Canis lupus familiaris: one gene and its partner. The protein of the gene in region 1 purifies or fractionates together with the protein of each later gene. This does not show direct contact. Links are inferred from orthologs where the notes say so. Each region holds a gene or a part of one and is shown on either strand. Other genes may lie near its edges.

Evidence for each region.
Region 2: the proteins of NEURL4 (region 1) and CEP290 purify together in Homo sapiens (affinity purification with mass spectrometry; 3 studies listed by BioGRID and IntAct, with this or other methods). This does not show direct contact. The link is inferred for Canis lupus familiaris from reciprocal best matches to the Homo sapiens genes NEURL4 and CEP290.

Annotation. Positions count from the first base shown.
Region 1 is NC_049226.1:32,487,356-32,497,448, forward strand, and holds the start of NEURL4 (neuralized-like protein 4), read right to left. Parts: upstream 6,189-10,093; coding exon 5,925-6,188; intron 5,803-5,924; exon of another isoform or gene 5,683-5,802; coding exon of another isoform or gene 5,575-5,682; intron 5,061-5,574; coding exon 4,616-5,060; intron 4,402-4,615; coding exon 4,336-4,401; intron 4,186-4,335; coding exon 3,887-4,185; intron 3,740-3,886; coding exon 3,628-3,739; intron 3,547-3,627; coding exon 3,458-3,546; intron 2,980-3,457; coding exon 2,907-2,979; intron 2,775-2,906; coding exon 2,510-2,774; coding exon of another isoform or gene 2,435-2,509; intron 2,265-2,434; coding exon 2,083-2,264; intron 1,893-2,082; coding exon 1,807-1,892; coding exon of another isoform or gene 1,795-1,806; intron 1,686-1,794; coding exon 1,523-1,685; intron 1,383-1,522; coding exon 1,184-1,382; intron 1,097-1,183; coding exon 1,020-1,096; intron 895-1,019; coding exon 816-894; intron 437-815; coding exon 261-436; intron 174-260; coding exon 42-173; intron 1-41. Other genes in the region: uncharacterized protein LOC106558815, read left to right, coding at 7,355-7,851, 8,229-8,336, 8,475-8,546, 8,763-8,851, 8,948-9,196, 9,476-9,684. UniProt on the Homo sapiens protein: Promotes CCP110 ubiquitination and proteasome-dependent degradation. By counteracting accumulation of CP110, maintains normal centriolar homeostasis and preventing formation of ectopic microtubular organizing centers.
Region 2 is NC_049236.1:29,569,363-29,578,983, forward strand, and holds part of CEP290 (centrosomal protein of 290 kDa), read right to left. Parts: intron 9,484-9,621; coding exon 9,406-9,483; intron 8,373-9,405; coding exon 8,303-8,372; intron 8,039-8,302; coding exon 7,992-8,038; intron 5,344-7,991; coding exon 5,200-5,343; intron 5,081-5,199; exon of another isoform or gene 5,016-5,080; intron 899-5,015; coding exon 845-898; intron 108-844; coding exon 1-107. UniProt on the Homo sapiens protein: Involved in early and late steps in cilia formation. Its association with CCP110 is required for inhibition of primary cilia formation by CCP110.

The DNA of each region.
Region 1 (10,093 bases):
GCTTGCAAGCATAGCCCACTCGCCCTCCCCACGCGCTGAACCTGGGGAGTGCAAAGGGAAGGATTTCTCGGTGGCAGTGTTGCTGGTTGCCAAGCTGTTGTCCATGGGGCCGGTGGCATTGGTGATGGACACTTGGACACACTGGCCGTAAAGATCCACTACTGCGTACACCTCTGGATGGAGAAGGAGGGGATCAGAAGCCCGAGAGCCCGGGCTGAGCTGGCATGAGGGTGGCGGGCCAAAAGGCACAGAGCAGTCACCTTTACCCGGAGGCAAGCCTGAGCAGGCGGCGCCTTGGTCCTGGCCGTTGATGAAGTAGTGCAGGTCACCCTTGGCTGTTCGCATCATGCCGATGCGTGCACCCGTGCCCAGGGCGTCCAGGTCACACCCGTAGTTGTTGCGCATCGTGTTCCCGTCTTGCATGATGGCCGTGCCACTGGAGAGAGGACAGAAGGACCGCTGAGCCTCCCGCCTCTTCCCCACACAGGCCTCTGAGCAGTCTCTGATCGTCAGAACCTTCCAGTGCCTTGCATCAGGATCTTCATCTGGGGTCTGAGACCCAATCCTGTCTCCCATACCTCTGGGGACCACCCACAGAGAAAAGCGGGAGCTGCCATAAGAGGAGAAAAGGAAGCTGGGCCACCGTGGGGTGCGTGGTGACATGGGAGCACTTCCCAGAATGGAAAGAAAAGAGCGACCCGATCCCTTGGACCTGTCGTTGTCCAGGGCCACCGAAGGCCCCAAAGCTGGCTTCCCTCATCCTCACTAGCTCCACCTGACCCTGCCAGGCTGGCTGTCCCCACAGGCAGCCTAACCTCAGCATCCATGTGTCGTAGTCAATGTCTGTCATGGTGTTGGGGAATTCGAGGTCTTCCGGCCGAATGGCAGTCACTCCTAGGAGGTAGCAGCAGGGGGTCAGAACCAAGGCTCCAGCAACGGGCAGCCAGCACCATCCCCAGCACACAGAGTCTGTCACACACGTGCATGCACGCATGCAGAAATGCACAGGTGCCCCTTACCAGCCTCAATGGAGCCTGACCAGCGGTCCACCATCTTCTGAATAACGATTTCAAACAGCTCTCCGTCCCGCAGGGCCCTGCCAGAGACAGCGGCAATCAGGCCCCAGTTGGGTGGCCAAGGCTGGGCGGCGGGAGGCTGGGGCCGTGACAGCGCCAACACTGACCGGTTGGAGATGACGATGGCGTCATTGAACTCGCTGCGGCAGTTGTGCCGGAGTGCGGTGCGGCCCCCGTTGGTGATGACTGCATTACTGCCGTGCAGCTGATGGAAGCGCAGGTCAGAGCCCCCGGCCCCTGATGATGGGGAGCTGGGAGACACCTGGTTGTTCCCTTCAGAGAGGGGCTCAGGGGCCGGGGGCACCTCTGTGAGAGTGGTCATCACCCGTTAGGCTTCCAGTGGTCTCCGAGGCCCCCCAGCCACCCCCCAGCTCCTACCAGGCCTGGGCGGTAGCCACCCCAGGCCACCCCAGCACCCCCCAGCTCCTACCCATCCCAGCCCTCACCCACGTCATCCACAATGGTAGCTTGGGCTGCCTGGCCATAGAGGTCCACAACAGCGTAGACGCCAGGGGGCACATTCCAGGCCGCAGGGCCCTGGGTCATCCCGTTGACGAAGAAGTGCAGGGTCCCGTCCTCCCGCCGCACCACGCCCACAGTGTCCCCTGCCTTGGAAGAAGGGGGGCTGGAGTGAGGAGTCAGGCAGAGTTCCCGCCTGGGCTAGTCCTATAGCAGCCCCGATGGGCCTGCCCCCCATCACCAGGCCTGGGCGGCACACCTGCTCCCCCACCTTGAGGCGGTCCAGATTGTGCCCATACTCGTCCAAAATGGTCGTTCCGTTGTGCATCACCCCATTCCCGGTCATCATCCAGGTCCCTAGGAGAACGAGGAAACACAGAGCACATAAGTGAGCCCCGGGCCCCCTGCCCTTCACAGCCCCCACGGCACTCCTCGCCCCCGTGGCAGGCCGCCGCAGCAAAACAAGAACAAGCCAGCTCCGTGGGGGCTGTGGGGGCAGCTTCCCCCTTAGGACCTGATCCTGGCCCCGCCCTCCTTGGGAGCTCACCAGAGCGCAAGTTGGTCATGGTGGAGGGCAACTGGAGGTAGGCAGGGTTGTGGGTGGTGACACCAATCTCAATGGAGCCAGCCCACTTGTCCACCATCTTGTCGATGCGCACCTGAAACACCTCTCCGTCCCGCAGGGCTCTGCTACTCAGCACCACGCCATGGTTGAAGTCATCTGTGGCACTGAGGGCACAGCGAATGCGTAACTGAGCACACCAAAGCTTAGCCCGCCAGTGCCCACCTCACACCTGTGGTGCTGAGCCACGTGGCTGAACTTCACTCTCCAGGAGGCACCCCCCCATACTATCAAGAACTCCCCAGGTCAGAAGCCACACACCCCCCCCCACGCCTGCCTCCTGCTTCTCCACCCCTCCTCCGATCCTGTTAGAGTCCCTGCAGCAGGCTTCTCCCCACACCATGGGCCATACTGGGGCCTCAGGGCAGTGCGTCCCTCGTGGGTGATAGCTGCCTTCTGCCCGCAGTTAGGGTGGAAGAGCAGGCGCTCGGGCTCTGCCTGGGTGGCAGGAGTGGCGCGACGCAGGGCGCCCTCGGGGGACAGTGCCCGCAGGATGGCATTGTTTCGACGCAGCCGGTCGCTGTGGTTGTTATTGTGGACGATGGTCACCTTCACAGCCATCCCGTACAAGTCCACCACGCCGTACACCACTGGGGGTGTCAGTGGGGTAGCCACGCCTGCCGGGGAGAAGGCAGAGAGGGAAGGAATATGGGGAGACCAGCATCAGGGAGACACAGGACGGTGAGGTACAGACCCCTGCCCAACACCGAAAGCCCTAGCCCAATGGCCTGCCTCAGGTATCTCCTTACCCTGATCAATGCCATTGATAAAGAAGTGCAGGGCTGAGTTGGACTTCCTTGTGAGACCAATGTGGTCGCCCTCCTAGTCAGAGCAGAAAAACAAAGATCTGGAATCCGCCTCCAATCAGGCTCTGGCCCAGGCCGCAGGGGAACAGCCCCAAAGGCACCTGAGTCTTGAGCCCCTGAACCCTCCCTCACAGCAAGTCTGGCACAGGGTGAAGCCACCTCATACACAGCACCTTAGCCACCTCTCCAAGCAATTCATGAGCTCATCTCAGGCGTGGAGAAGAAAAGAAAAAAAGAAACCCATACCAAACATAGTGAGCAAGCTTCTTGACTGTAGTCATGACCCCACACGACCCCTCAGAAAAAAAGAAAACCTCTGGCTCTGAAATCTGAGTGCCTAACTACCAGGCAACCGTGCCTTCTCAGAAGGAACCTCTCGGAGAAAGATCAGAAGCCTTGTTCCAGGTCACAGCGGAGACTGGGGTGCCCGGGCAGGGGTGCTGGGTAACAAGGCTGCCCCAGAGCGCGGCCCAGACTGCACGCCCACCCCTTACCTGCAGCTCATCCAGGCTGAATTCACAGTACTCCCGGCGGGTGCCCTTGCCATTGGTCAGGATCCCACAGCCGCTCATCATGATGGTGCCTGTGGGAAGGCAGACGCCCGGCATCAGGCCAGGCCTTCCTTCACCATGGGAAGGTGTCCCCGCCCCGCCAGGGCTGGTACCTGACTGTAAATTGGTCATGGTGGCAGGGTACTCCAGGTTGTTGGGGTTGTGGGTGGTGACACCAATCTCAATGGAGCCCGACCACTTGTCTACGAGCTTGTCAATGCGGATCTTGGGGGGAGCGACAGCAGGAGGGAGAGGAGGGCATGTCAATGTGGAGAGAGGACCCTCGGCCCCACCCTTCCAATGTCAGGGATCGAGCCCCATTTTTGGTTCCCAGAGGGTGAGGTACCAGCCAGGGCCCAGGACCTCACACACCTCAAACATCTCATTGTCCCGGAGAGGGCGGTTGGTCATGACAACCCCGTTGTTGAATTCGTCCAGGGGCCGGCGGCGCTCAGCTGTCTTATTGTTGTTGCTGAGTTTGATGAGAGTCCCACACTTCTCGTGAAAGAGCAGGGCGTCGTTGGAGGTGAGGATGGGCGAGGTGGCAGCCCCGCCAGACCCCAGTCCTTCCCCTGCCGGTGGGGAGCTCAGGTTCACATTTAGGAGCCCCCCGTTGTAGGCAGAAAGGATGGCGTTGCCCACCACCTCAGAGAGCTCCATGCTGGCAAAGTCTAGGCGGCAGGACAGGGGAGGGAAGCCGGAATGAGGCTCTACACGTTCAGGCCCTCCACTCTCCCCCTAATCCTCTCCTGAGGGCCCCCTCCCCTCACCTTCCGCCTCACTTCCCATTCCCCTTCCCAAAGCCTCCAGGGTGCCCTCACCATTATGCGACTCAAGGCTGTTAGGAAACGTCTCCGGCCGGGGCTGCGCTGGGGACACCATGAAGGCTGGGGACCAGGCGGGGTGGGAGGGGAATGAGGGTCCAGCCCCTGCTGCGGGGCCCACAACCAGGACACCCCTCCTGTAGCCCCTGCTTCCCCTTCAGCAGACTGGGGTCTGAGTGGCCCTACCCGAACCCAGACTCCATGGTCACTAGTCACCCATGCCTTCTGCCACTCCCCCTGCCCCGCCTCTTCCCCTCGGCCCTGGCTGGGTTCTCACCTTCATCCCCAGAGGTCGCCTGTTCAGTCAAGGTGGAATCTTCAGGGGGTGCAGAGGGCTCGAGGGGAGGTGTGGGGATGGGAGCAGGGGGGCTGAAACCTGGCTCGGGGGGCAGCACGGTGATCTGGGTGCACTTGCCGTAAAGGTCCACCACGGCCCAGACCCGGGCGGGGAGGCCCGTGGCGGCAACACCACAGTCCCGCCCATTCACCCAGAGCCGCAGCTCCCCAGCAACTGTGCGCTCCACGCCCACACGGTCCCCTTCACCAAGCTGGTCCAGGTCCTGACCATACTCCTCCAGCACAGAGCGTCCATCCCTCAACACCGAGCAGCCTGACACTACCCATGAGCCCCCCTTCAGCCCTGTGGCGCTGCTTGGGAAGTCCAGAACACTGGGGTCTAGGGCCGTCACCCCAATCTCAATGGAGCCACTCCAGGAGTTGACCTGTGATAAGGGTGGTGGACAGAGGCTCAGGATGGGCTACCGTGGGTCCCCAACCACTAGGAAACCACATTTCACAAACCACGTGTCCCCCTCTCTCCACACCCCTAACAGCTAACTGGCTTTTCTCTATTGAGACCCAAGACACGACTCTAGAGAGGTGGTCCTGTGAGCAATCATCTGGACTGTCTCAGGGACTGCTGGGCCCGCTGTACCCCAGCAACTCTGCCCCCACTCTGGGATCTGTCCCCAACACCACCATGCCCTGGCTGCAGCCCCCCTGGCTTCCAGCATCCAAGTTCCCGGCTCTCCATGCCCATCCTCCTAGCTCCTGTCTACCACCCTCCTCCCCCCTCCCAATTCCCCCCACCCCCGACCTCATTTTCTCCAGGGCTCCTGCTCCACTCAGATTCCCTCTCTTCCCAAGTTCCATCTGTGTGCACCTGGCCTCTTCTCCGAGGGGCACACAAGCAGGCACACCTCCCCTCGGCCCCCCTGAGGGTCTCTCCTCACCCACCTCTTCGCCCCAGCTGATCCTCCAACGGCCGGTCCTTCCCCGGCTTCTCTCCTGCGCTCCTACCACATCCCCGACATCCCTCCATCTTTTCACCTCCCCAGAAACCATCCCGGGAGATCTGGACCCTAACCACCCCTGGGGTGGCAGCGTCCCGTGTCCGTTCCCTGCTCCGGGGTCTCGAGCAATCTAAAGCTCTCGCCGTCCCTCTCCCCTTCCCCGCCCGCCGCCTGGTGCCGCGACGGTGTGTCGGTTCGCTCTCGGCAGCCGGCGGCGGAGGCCAGCCCGGCCGTCCCGCCCCGCGTCTCCCGCTCGCCCCCTCCCGCCTCCCTCCCGCGGGCCCCGCTCCGCACCTTGCGGTCGATGCGGACGGTGAAGACGCGTCCATCGCGCAAGGGCTCCCGGCTCAACACCAGCCCGTGGTTAAACTCCTGGCCCGGCTGCTGCCGCCGCGCGGTACGCCCGCAGGCCGACAGGCTCACCAGGCGCCCGGTGCGGGGGTGCAACTCCCCGCCGGACCCCGGCCCTGCGCCGCTCCCGCCGGGGCCCCCACCCCCGCCAGGCCCCGGCCCGGGGCCACCCCCGGAGCCCCCGCTCCCACCCGACCCCGCCGCCATCGCCGCTGACACCGGGGCCGCGCGACAGCCGCGCTTGGCGGCACCGTGGCAACCGCGACGCACAGACACCCAGAGGGAACGGGATTCCGCGCTGGGGCCGGGTATGCTTTACGGCACTGCCGGGCGAGGAAGCATCCCGGGCTAGGGAACTAGTAACCCACCACGGTGGGAACGGAGGACGACGGGGTCGGGCAGGCTTGCTTTACGGCACGGCGGGGTGACGGCGAGGCTCTCAAAGGCGTGTGGGCTAGGACAGGGAGCTTTTGCGACAGAAGAGGAAACGACAGCCGCAGGCCCCTTTACGACGCAGGGGGTCCGCCCCACCTTCAGCTTGGCAACAGCGGCGCCGACGACCCCGCCCTCGCCGAGGTACGCGGCCCCTCTAGGAAGCCGCTTTACGGCGGGCGGAGGGGGTGTGTTCCCCTCGCGCCACAGCCTTCGCAGTGGGTGAGCAGCGGCCTTAGGACCTGGGGAAGGGAGCCGGGCGCTTTATAAATGAACACCTCGGCGCCGCGCGGCTACGTCTTTGCGACACTGTCGCAACCTCGTCGCTTTGTATCACACCTCTCGTGAGGGGCACAGCAGGCCAACTTTGGGGAGGGGGCCGGCGGAGGCTAAAGGGGTTGGCAGTACTTCCAGATAAGCCCACCGTGAACTCCCATCCAGCCAGACCCTTAAATCTTAAAGCCACGGATAAACAGTCCAGTGAAACCTTGGCAGGTGGTTTCCAGCAACGGCGCTGAGGAATTGACCCCCGCCCCCCCAAAAAGACCCCCGAGCTAGGAACAAGCCCCCAGCCCAACTCTGCGAGCTCGCGCTGAGGCTGAAAGGCTGTGACGTCACAATCAAGGCTTTTCGCCCGTAACCGGGACCCCCGATTGTGATTGGATAATTCGGATGAAGGCGGTGATGGGGAAGAAGGGCGGGAACAAATCCCAGAGACAAAGAAGGCCTTTGGGTGGGACAGAGAGAGGCAACCAGAGGGCAACCCCCCAGCCCGAGGGCCCTACTTAGAGTCTGGAACCCCGGATCGCGGCCCCGGAGAGCGGAGCGGAAGTGGACCCGGGCCTCTGCCAGAGCGTCCCCCGCCCGGCGCGGTGGGGGCGGGGCCTCGGGGCGGGGTTATGTGGGGGCGGGGCAGCTGAGAGGGGCCCCCGGGAGGGGCCATGGAGAAGCCGGAGGCTGTGGGGGCCGCTGGCGGCCTCGGTGGGGAGTCTCCGGGAGGGGCGAGCAGGGGAGCGCTAGGAGGCGTCGGAGGAGTCGAGGCAGATGCCGGGCCGCCCTCCGGTGCTGCCTTGTTTCACGGTTCTGAGCCCCCCCTGCACTCTGGAGGGATCGTAACTCGCAGTCCTAGAGTTAGCCGGCCCTCGGCGAGGGTAGCAGTCCCCGGTTCCGGGCCCAGCCAGCACCCTGGGGAGGTTGCGGGCCTGAGCGCCGGGTCCTGCCCAAACCCTGACGGATTCAATGCCCCCTTCCTTGGAACCAGTGTATCCGGGACCTGCGGCCTCGGGTCTGGGGGCTCTGGGGTGTACAACTCGGGATGCAGTCCGCCGCGCTCCGGGTCAACTTGCTCGCACTCCCACAAACCTGGTGAGGGCCGACCCCGGAGCATCCTAAAAAACAGCAGCTCCATCTTGATGCAGAAGTGCCTCCATGCGGACAAGTAAGGAGCCCCGCTCAGGGGGCAGCGGCGCGGAGCCCGGAGGGCGGGGTTCCCGACACTGGAGGGGGCGGAGCTAGGGGAGAGGGTGGTGTCCTAAGAACTAGGAAGGAGAGCGGCTGAGGGCTGTGAGCTGGGAATTCTCGGGTTCCAGGCTCTCTGGGGCCGCAGCTGGGGCCCAGTAAACGTTGTCAGGCCAGTATGTGATTATCATCAGGTATGGCACCCTCGCCTCGCCATCCTCAGGCTCCTGCGCCTCTGAGATCACGAGAGGATACAAGAGAAAGGTTTTTGAATAACTGAAGGAACGAGGGAGGGTTGTGAAGGGAAGGTCACTGGAAGATTTCCTTCTCCTCTCTTGGGTCCTACCCCTATTCCAGGAAAAAGTCTCAGCGGTGGGATGAGATGAATATTCTGGCCACCTACCACCCTGCTGACAAGGACTATGGATTCATGAAGGTGGATGAGCCCAGCACTCCCTACCACAGGTGCTGAGCCCTCAGCCCTCATCATTCAGCCCAGAACCTTCCCTATTCAGAGAGGGTAGAAGGGGAGGCAGAGAGACCCCAAGAACTGGGCACAGCCTGATGCCTGCATCCCAGCACTGCTTCCTCCCTCCTCTGCAGGCTGCAGGACGGTGATGAGGACCTGCCTGGAGCATCCTCTTGCACAGTGACTCCTGAGGCGCTGGCTGAGAGGTGAGAGTCCAGCCAGAGATCAGAAGAGATGTGAGGCCTCTTCCTAACCTCACCCCTGGGGTCAGAGCCAGTTCTGCTTTTTCGGCCACCAAAATGAGAGGTGGTACAGTTCCCTGCTATCAGGACTGACCAAGGTCAAGATCAGGGAGTCAGCCCAGCTAGGCCCCCCTTGTGATCTCCCCTTTGGCGCCCCCAACTAGTCTCCCTCCCCTTCAGGTTTGCAACAATGGACAATTTGTACCCCAAGGTCCTACAGTACGATGATAACAGAAGCCCAGGGTCTTCAGACAACTTTTCCAAGACACGTGAGATGAGGGGTCGGGACTGAGGAGAAAGGGGAGGCAGAGTGAACCCTCCATGGGAGCCTGGCGGGAAAGCCAAGCTCTCACAATGGCCCACAGACTCCAGTGATTTTGAAAAGCACCGAAAGTCACACTACGACGAAGGAAAGTTCCTTACAGCTCAGAAAAATCCTTCTTCCAGTAATAAGCACAGTGACGGGGCTAGCACTAGCATGGGCAGTAGCAGTCGAGGCATAATGCGGGACCCAGAGCCCAGGCCTGCGGAGAGAGGCTGGCCGGGAGGACTGGCCAGAGGAGTCAAAGATGAGATTGGCCTGGTGACCAGGAACCACCTCTTGGAAGTCAAGGGTCAGCTGTGGTGCCTGAGAGGGAGGTGATGGGAGGCACCCCCAGGGAAGATAGAAGGCGGAGGAGGTGGGGTCCTCAGCATAACGGCCCTCGGGAAGCCTGAGACAGCCCTGGGGAATGGATAGGTCACCAGGGTTTTCTCACATGGGAGGAGGACACAGAATTGAGATGAAAATCGGGGGCCTGAGCTTCTCCCCTGAGGGAGGGCATTATGGACACCTGGGGGTCCTAGACCCCCGACGTGGCTGGAAGACTCAGATCATTGGGGTGACTCTCCAGATTCCCGTAGCTTCCGAAATCAGTGCCCAGTTTCAGCCGCCATCACGTCAGACAAGGAGATTGGCCTGCAACGAAAAGAGTATTATAGCAAAGGGAGGTACCTGAGGTGCTCCCCACACCCGGAGCTCGAGGAGGACACAGAAGATGAGCATGACCAGCAGGACAGTGAGAGCTGGGCTGGGTCAGCCTGGGACGGGGGGTGCTGGTAGCCAGCAGACTAGTGGGGTGCCCCAATCTTGATCCCGTGATGCTTGCAGGCTCAGTAAATTTTAACTGGGTGATTGAGAACCCCATAAGCACAGAGGTCCGTCTGCTGGACCACACAGGAAACCCTGTTCAGGATCACCAGGCCACTGAAGACTGCCTGACGGGGACAGTGGCGACATCACAGCCTGGTGAGGGCACCAGGCCACAGTGTCTGGCTTTTGACAAGCACTCAGCCCCCCAGCTCCCCTTCTTTGCATACCGGTGGATCAGCAATGGTTACTGAGCATGGTCCCAAGCATCCTGGTGTGCAAGGCCTGTGTTGTTCAGAGAGGAACCAGGGAGACTCCAAAGGATTTGGGGCCCTCTCCAGCATGGCACTATCCACTGGCCCCACGCCTGCTCCCTGACTCC
Region 2 (9,621 bases), on another chromosome or scaffold:
AATTGTGATCGGTAGTCACTGTCTTCTCCTCTTCTTGATAAAAGTGTTTCTTTTTGGGAATCTATTTGTTTCTGATAGTCAATAATATCCTGACGAAGCTGCTCATTCTGAAGGCAGACCAAATACAATATTCTATATTAAGAAACTATCCAGAGAAACAAAACTTCATCCTCTAAATAGTTGATCTCAAAACATATCTTTAAAATCCCAAGGTCTCGCCACCCTTAAAGTCTCACCTTTTTCTTTAGACGTTTGTTCTCCAGAAAAGAATAGGAAAAAGAAAATTAGAAATAAGAAAGGCAACATATAATTAAAATTAGGAATTAGAAATTAAAACAATAAAGAAATTTTAGGAGGAGATATTATTTTGGATAATCAAAGAAAGTAAGAATATTAATTATCAACCAAAATAAGGAATATTTTGGTTATGTTAAAAAGATAAGAACTCCTGTAAGGATAAACAATGTACAAACATTATTTGGCTCAGAAGAACCAAATAATACAGAACTTATAAGATTTCATGAGAAACAAAACATTTAAAAGAATACTGGGTAAAATAAGAAAAGACAGAAATGCAGTTATTCAGCAATTAGCAAACTAACAAAGAATAGCTTATAAAACAAAGCAAAATTTACCCCCATACAGTAAGAGATGAACATAGTACTTAGTAGCCTCAACTTTCAATTTATTTTCTATTTCCCTGAGACAAATTCATATAAAAATAAGCCAACTTGGAAGCATCTGTTACTTAGAAGATTACAGTCCTGCTTAGAGTATAAATTTATGAAAATGTTTTTAACAAGTAATTTATTGAACTACTACAACTACTAAATTTTTTACCAACCTCTCTTCTTAATTTGCTGTTTTCATTTTCTGCTTCCTCATTTCGAAGAGCCAACTAAAATAGCAAAATAAAAAAATAAGTAAATAAGGTTTAGCAGTAATTCAATATAAATCCAGGTTTCAACTAATCAATTTAAATTTTAAATTCTAATTAAGTAGAGAATGATTAACTACTAAGGACTTCATGTTGATCACAGATATGAATAATAAACCAAAATTTGTGAAATCTAAAGATTAGGAAAAACAAAACAGGCTGAGTTTAAATGATTAAAAAAAAAAAAAAAAAACTAACTAACCAAAGGATACAGAAACAAAGCAACAAACAAACTATTCCACTCCTCGCCCAAACCTAATAATCAGCAATTTTCTGTCCAAGATCTTTAGCATTTTGCAGTTCTATGTCAGGGCTAGGATATTTTTTGTTCTGGTGAGCATTTAAATTACTTAGAAATATAAGGCAGCACAACATAATGGTTAAAAAGAAGCAATCTGAAATCTGACTAGCCCAGGTTTATATTCTTTGTCCACTGATTTCTGGTGGAGTACAAACAAGCCATTTACTATCTTTTAAATCCAATTTTCCCATCTCATATATTGATGTAAAAATTAACTATGATGTTTATAAAGTCCCTTAGCACAATGCTCAGTGCATGAAATAACAAAAAAATTATGGAGTGTTTTCTTCTCACATAAATGATTTCATTTGTGATTCTTTTATTTCCCAAAACAAATTTTATTAACTATTATCACAGTTTTTTTTTAAACAATGTCCAAACCTCTTATGTCTTTTCACTTTTCTCCCTCATTCAAGCAGAATGTAAAAGATCAGTGGTTTGGAATTAGAATACATTTAAAAGTCTATAGTAAATAACCAAATGCAGTATGTGACCCTTGATGGAACCTTGGATTTGGGTGGAAGGGCTATGAAGGGCATTATTAAGCCAAAGGAAAAAAATACAATTAGAGACTAGATATTAGGTAACAGTATTGAAAAATATTAAATTTCCTGCATATGGTAATTATATAATGATTACATTGGAGAATACTCCTCTTTTTCAGAGACACATGCTGAAATATTTTAGTGTTCATGAAGTATCATGATATATGCAGCAGTTAATTCTCAAATGGCTCAGCAAAGAGAGAGAACTATGTGAATACAAAGATATTGATGGAGAGATAAAGTAAAAGTGGCAAAATTTTGACAATTGGTGAATCTGTATGAAGAGTATATGAATGCTTATTGTTTTTCCTATAATATTTAGGAAGGTATGATAGTTTTCAAAATAAAAAGTTTAGAGGGATCCCTGGGTGGTGCAGCGGTTTAGCGCCTGCCTTTGGCCCAGGGCGCGATCCTGGAGACCCGGGATCGAATCCCACATCGGGCTCCCTGCATGGAGCCTGCTTCTCCCTCTGCCTATGTCTCTGCCTCTCTCTCTCTCTCTCTCTCTCTCTCTCTCTGTGACTATCATAAATAAATAAAAAAAAATTTTTTTAAGACTTATTAAAATAAAATTAAAAAAGTTTAGAGAAAGTTTATAATAAAATGCAAAACACCGGAGAAATTTCAAGAGTGTACCTACTACTACTACTATCATCATCATCATCATCATCATCATCACCATCGTTGCCTGGGAGTTAAGAAATAATCCTATTGTGTTTTGAATTGGAAAATTTTAACTAGGAAAGAGATGTCAAGAACTTACCACTGAAGCATTTAGTACTACTGATGCTCTTTTCCCTTAATTTTTCAAACATCACATTCTTGATTTTTGTCTTATGCTGTTCCTTAAAGCACCTCTTCCTGTTTCATTAGACATTTCTCAGAGATCTCCCTTACAGTCATTTCTACGGCTTCATAGCTATGTTGCTAACTCACAAACCTTCACCCTCTACCCAATGCGTTTTATGAATTCCAAAACCAGTTACTCTTTTTGAATATGCCCACTGGAATCTCAAACTTAACATGAACAAAAGTGAAAACTGGAGTAGTAATTACACACCTTATAAATTTCTCTTATGTCTCTACTTAGTGAATAACACTACCTTATTATTCAGTGGCCCAACCCAGAAAACTCTCCATTCCTCCCTCTCCTGACAACCATTCAACACATCCAATTACACGTACATCTCTAAACCTGTCTATATCCCTTAATCTCTTCAGTCATGATTTTAATTAGTCCATCATCAGCACCTGCCTGAATTAGCACAGATGTCTCTTTACTATTCTTAGTCCTCTTCAATCCACTCTCTATAAAGCTGAATAAACATCAAAAGTATAGATCTGATCACGATATTCTCATATTCAAAATTCTTCTTCTTTTAGGAAAAAGACCAAATTTCTCAGGAACTGACTTGTACTTATCTCTCCGGAGGATCACAAATGTTTAAACTACAAAGGCAAGATAGTACAGTGGTTTAGAACAGACTCACTGAGTAGGTTTGGATTCAAATCCTGTTTTTACCACTTATTATTTCTGTAACCATGGACAATTACCCTTTCTTTGTCTGTTTCCCTATCTGGAGCATGGGGAAATGTTACCTATCTCAAATGATATGTATGAAACAAGGAACAACAAATTAGTGCCTATAAAGTATCTGGCACATAATAAGGATTCTACACTAGCCATTTTTACCTATATTTCAGCCAAAATGAATAATTGTAATTCCCTAAATTCACCATGCCATCTCTTCCCTCTAGATCTTAGCAAATGCTGTATCTTCAGCCCAGAATGCCCTTTCTTTAACCACCACGTATACCCCATACCCTTGCCAGACTAACTCCTAATTCAGGTCTGCTTTTTGGTGTTTTGTTTTTAATAATTTGTTTTAAAGATTTTCTTTATTTAAGAGAGAATGTGAATGGGAGAGCACGAGCAGGGGCGGGGCAGAGGCAGAGAGAAAGAAGCAGATCCCCTACTGAGCAGGGAGCCCAATGTGGGCTTGATTCTAGGACCCTAGGAATCAAGGGAGAATCAAGGGGAATCATGAGCTGAAGGCAGACCCTTAACCCACTGAGCCACCCGCGTCCTTCAGGTCTCAGTTTACAAATCATTTCCTGAACCTCAAGACTGATTTAGTTATCCCTCCCCAGAGTAGGGATATGTTACATTTATTATAGACAATGAATATCAAGAAGCAGGATAACATTACCCTCTATATTCCTAGCATCTAACAGTCTCTGGCAAGCTAAACTCAATAAGGGCAAAGAAGAAATTGCCAATAACTCATATTCCATCTCAAAGAATCTAACAACTGGAATGGTACATAGGCCATATATTCAAGTTTTCTGTATTTGTTTCTATGAATAGATAGTAGTCTAAGAATGGACAAGATAGTTCTGATTAACAGGATATGGATATGAATGACAAAAAGTTGATTAATATGGGCTAGATGGAAGAACAGTTCGGAAAATGACAGATATCCCCCTAACAAGCAAATCTATTTCTGTATATCATAGATTGAGTCCTTAATGATTATTAAGAAATTCATAGGTCTGCTTTGTTTTATTAAGTCAACTAAACAGACAATCCTCTAAGAACTTATTCCTAACCTTTAGGTGGCATCAATCCATACATTTTTCAGCACAAAAATGGTATGGATAGATCACTTTTACATGAATCTTTTAATTATGTAAGAAAATAAATATATCAAGAATAGGGAAGTTTTTCTTTACAAATCAATTTGTAACACCTTATAACCTTATAAAATAGCGACAACACTTTATAACCATTGTTGTTTACTTAAAATTTATTGCCTTCTACTTCTAAGAGAACAATGGACAAATATTATTAGGATGTAATGAAATATTGACCTAAAAGGACACAAAGGTGAAAGTTTCTGGGAATCAGGGATGGAATGTTACTATGCTTAGGCAGCAGATTCTATAAAAGTTTACTAACAGGTGAGGCAAAATAGGAAATTTGTTTTCTGACAGGATTTTCTAAATACACCTGCAAAAAATTTTTTCCTTAAACTAAATTTAAGAGAACACTGGATGAATTATTTTCTAAATAACAATATAATAATCCAAAAGGTAATAACTATATTTGTCTAAAAGACAAAATGTTGTGATTTAAAATACACATGGATTTAAAAATGCTGGCTTTAACAAACTTTTTAAGAACCTATATTTTTTTTACATATAGGTATTTATTGCACAATATGAAGTACTCCTAAAACCATGGAATTTGATTCAAAGATATAATGAAAACATGAACAGTAATACAAAACTTTAGAGGTAAGCATACATCTATTCTCACATAAAACACAGAAATTGATAGTTGCCATTATAAAAACATAATCAGGTGTTTTTAGGTAACTTAAACAGTTAAAATTCATTGAGGAAATATGCCTTACTTGCTCATTAACCTTCTTCTCTTTCTCCAACTCCTTTTCCATGTCCTCCAATTCTCTATCTTTTTGTTCCAATTGTTTTTCAAGTTGGCGAATTTCATCACGTAAAAACCGAGTGTCTCTTCCACCTGCAGACTGCTGTGCCAACTTAAATAAACCAAAAGTAGAAATCAATCCCATTAGAAGACTCAACAACAAATTGACTTTAAATTTGTTATATATAATCAGCACCAGATGTTTAAAATCATGTAAAATCCACCCAGACACTGACCTCTGCTGCTCTTAAACTACCCTTTCCCTTGTACCCTATTTAAACCAGGGCTGTCCAACAGGACTTTCTAGGATAATGGAAATGTTCTCTGAATGGTTGAGTAGCAGAGCCACTATCTACAAGTGGCTTTGTGAACTTCAAATGTGGCCACTGCAACTACGGAAATGAATTTCTAATTTCTATTGTAATGAATTTAAGTGTAAATAGCCACAAGTGATTAGTGCTACTGTACTGGATGGCTCAGACCAAGATCACCTTTAAAATCTTGGGCCAGATTAGGGCACCTGGCTGGTTCAGTAAGTAGAGCATTCAACTCTTGATCTCAGGGTCATGAGTTTGAGGCCCACGTTAGGGGGATAGAGTTTACTTAAAAAAAAAAAAAAAAAAAAAAACTCTTGTGGCAGATTAAATCCATTTCACTTCATATTCCTGTTATTTTCGGTCACAGTCCAAAACATATCCTTTGGCATCTACCTGTCTCACATTCATCTCTTTACCATACAGCTGTGTTATTCTTATATATTAAATAGCTTTTTCGGGATCCCTGGGTGGCACAGCGGTTTGGCGCCCACCTTTGGCCCAGGGCGCGATCCTGGAGACCTGGGATCGAATCCCAAGTCGGGCTCCCGGTGCATGGAGCCTGCTTCTCCCTCTGCCTGTGTCTCTGCCTCTCTCACTCTCTCTCTCTGTGTGACTATCATAAATAAATAAAAAAAAATTAAAAAAAATAAAAATAAAAAAAATAAATAGCTTTTTCTTACTCTTTTCCTCCTTCAGAACACTTTCTATTGTGCTCTCAAAAATCTTCTTTCAAGATACATTAATAAAATATTAATACATAAATACACTCTTGGCCCTTTTACTGAATCATGTTCTCCATCTCCCCTCCTTAGCTGCAATTTGGTTCCTTTAGTATACTAAATACTTTGGAACTCTTTGGAAGATGCTCATTCTTTCACATCCCATAGACCTCAGGGTCAAGAGAAGGTGTTGATTTACCTCAACTTGCAACTTTCAGGCTATCATTCTTCCACCATCTTATGAAAACTCTGGCTGCTATGAATTCCACATGATAACCAGCTATTCAATCCCTACCTATTCATGGTAGCAGCAAACTACTAACTTCCCAGTTGAGCCCCCTCAAAATTCGTTGGCAATTTTTGGCACATGGCTCATAGTGTTCCACCAAAAGACCCCATAAGCAGTTTTCATACCCATATAACTTTCATTCTAGTCTCTCTCTCTTCTTTTTTTTTCACATGCTTCTTGAATTCACTATAGCCTCCCACTCTCTTGCCCACACCAGAACCTTGTCCAGTGCAAACATTGTCTCATGATTCCTAGTATACCCACCCTCTGACTTCACAGGAGCCTCTAATTCCTTGACCCCTTTCTAACCTCTCATTCAAATCTTGATTTACCCATTCAGCTGAGATTTCATAATCATTATTTTAATCAACCACTTTCTTACCAATATCTCCCACTGTCCTATCCTTCCATTCTACTGTAGCTGTCTAAACACTAACAGAATCAATCTGATTTCATAATTCATTTAGTAAGTATTTATTGAGAATGACTGATATTTTTCTAGAATATAGATATATTATAGGGAACAAAAATAACTCATCCCACTTCACAGTTAGTAAATAAAAGAATCAGGATTTGAACTCAAACTGTCTGACTCCAGATCCCCTAATCTCCAGCTCATTCTCCACTGAGTACTTGAAATATTCCACAAGTATTTCAAGCTTAATTTTCCTTAAAATTTGATCACACATCTTCCACTCTTATTTTTAGTAAATGGGCCTTCACTCCAACCTCTCAACTTCTAGGTACTAAACCTATAAACATAAAAGCTTCTGCACACATCCATTCTTCCCATTACAAAGGAAGGTCGGGATCCCAGAGTGGCTCAGCGGTTTAGTGCCTGCCTTTGGCCTGGGGGCGTGTTCCTGGAGTCCTGGGATGAGTCCCACTTCCGGCTCCCCACAGGGCACCTGCTTCTCCCTCTGCCTGTGTCTCTGCCTCTCTGTGTCTCCCATGAATAAATAAATAAAATCTTAAAAAAAAAAAAAAAGGGAAGAAGGTCTTTCCCCCTTTTAAAGGCTAATCCATTTGTATCACACTCCTTCCCACATTGTCAGGAATTTCAAAATCTTTGGTTAACAATACATTCATATTTGGCTCCTAATTTTCTCAAAAACTACTTCTACCAAATCCTTCCACCAGTATTCCTCAAATTCCCATGTTCCTCCACTTCAGTTCAGTTGCTAGTAGTCTTCTGTACACCTCTCTAGATTGTAAGCTTTGGGGGGGTGACTGAATATTTTTATTTTGTTCACTATTGGATGTTCAATCCTAAGAACTTAAGGTACATGGTAAACGTGTAAAATGTATGTCGAACAAACAACTAATTATGAACACAATGTCATTCTTGTGGTTTCTTCCAGCCAATGATAAAAAATCGAAAACAGTAATTCAAAATAAACAACAGTTACCCCCTAGGTAATAGAAAAGAACTTACCTCCAGTTCATTTTCCAGTTTCATTACTTTAGTTTTTAATTGATTTTCTATTTAAAAAAAAAGTTTCAATTGGTCAGATTCATCTCAAAACAAACTTTTAAATAAATTTCAACAAAGTAATAAAATTATTTCTAAAGACTCCATCATGATTATAATAAGTAACATAAGAAAAAATGACTTTTATACCTCATCCAGGAAATATGAATGCTAGAAATTTCTTACAAAATAAACTGAGCATGTATATTTTATAGAGTATATTAAACAGAAGCCCCCCTACTTAACATTGTGATAAACTTTTCCAGGACATTTACCAAATTTTGCTTGTTCTTCTCCAGCCTTTTCAACTTCCTCCAAAGCTAGCTCAACCTCTTGAGCTTTCATCTAAACATTAAAAAAGAAAGGTTATTTCAATATGCCTTTACATACACACTGAAAATGAAAATGAGAACTTTGTTTCATTTGCTTTCCCAATATTTATTTGTCATTCAGTGCCTGGGATATGGAGACTTTCAGTAAATATTTGTTGAATGAATAGATGATTTTCTTAAGGACATAATTCCTAGATTCCTAACAGCTTGAAGTATATTGATTCCTCTTTTCTCCCTCAAGTCTTATATCCAGTACTGTAACTTTGCCCTTTGTAATGCTTTCTACTATGTTTCTCTATTCCATTTGTCATTATTCTAGCCCATAATCTTATATCTAACCTTCTTCACCATGTTATCTCTAAATAGCTTCAATTCCCTTCACTTAGTCCTATTAATATACCTAGTTGAAGCCTTCCTAAGGCATACTTTTGCACTTATCAATTAGGCTCAAAAACCTCTCATGGCTCCTCATTGCTAATAGCAACATAAAATACACCTGTAATACCCTTGACGGCCTACTGCTAACTATAACCAACATTAGTTTCCTCTACAACCTACTATAAACTTTCTGCACCTGTCTCAACTGTAAAAAATAAGCACATTTTCTAGTCCCAGATTTTACTTGTGATGTCCAGCTGTAGAAGCTTTTTAACATTTGCCACTGCTTTCTACTTACCTAAAATTGCTCATCACTCTTTGCCCTTTATGAGGCCTTCTCTCACCTAAATCTCTTCCTCTCCTAACAAACCCCTTACAAGTCATTCACATTTTTCATTCTGACTTCAGGATTATGTTAACATAATCACAAATGAGTTGCTATATTATTTTTAAACATACCCATTCTGTTTCCCTTATGCATTCTTTTAGGAACTTTGGAGCAGAATCGAGCAATGCTTTGCACACTAAAATTCTCAGTCCATATTTGAAAGAGATCTCTTTTTGAGTGATTTTGATATTACAAATACCTTCATAACAATTAACTTATTTAAGAGCTCCTTAAATGTCCTCTAATAGTCAAATATTGTTAAAACCTACTGCATACAAACCTTCATTAGTGATTGAGTAATTCTGAAAAGGTGTATCACATTTTCTTGACTTTCAGTTTTTAGCTCACTTATTTCCACCTAAGTAAAGAGAAAAGCATCTATTTTATGTTTTATAACCCTTAGTCAAAATGTAAAAACTCTTCTATTTGTAACATTCATTGATCTCAGGGACAACTTGGATTAATCACAGTTGTACATAGATAGATGCACTGTTTA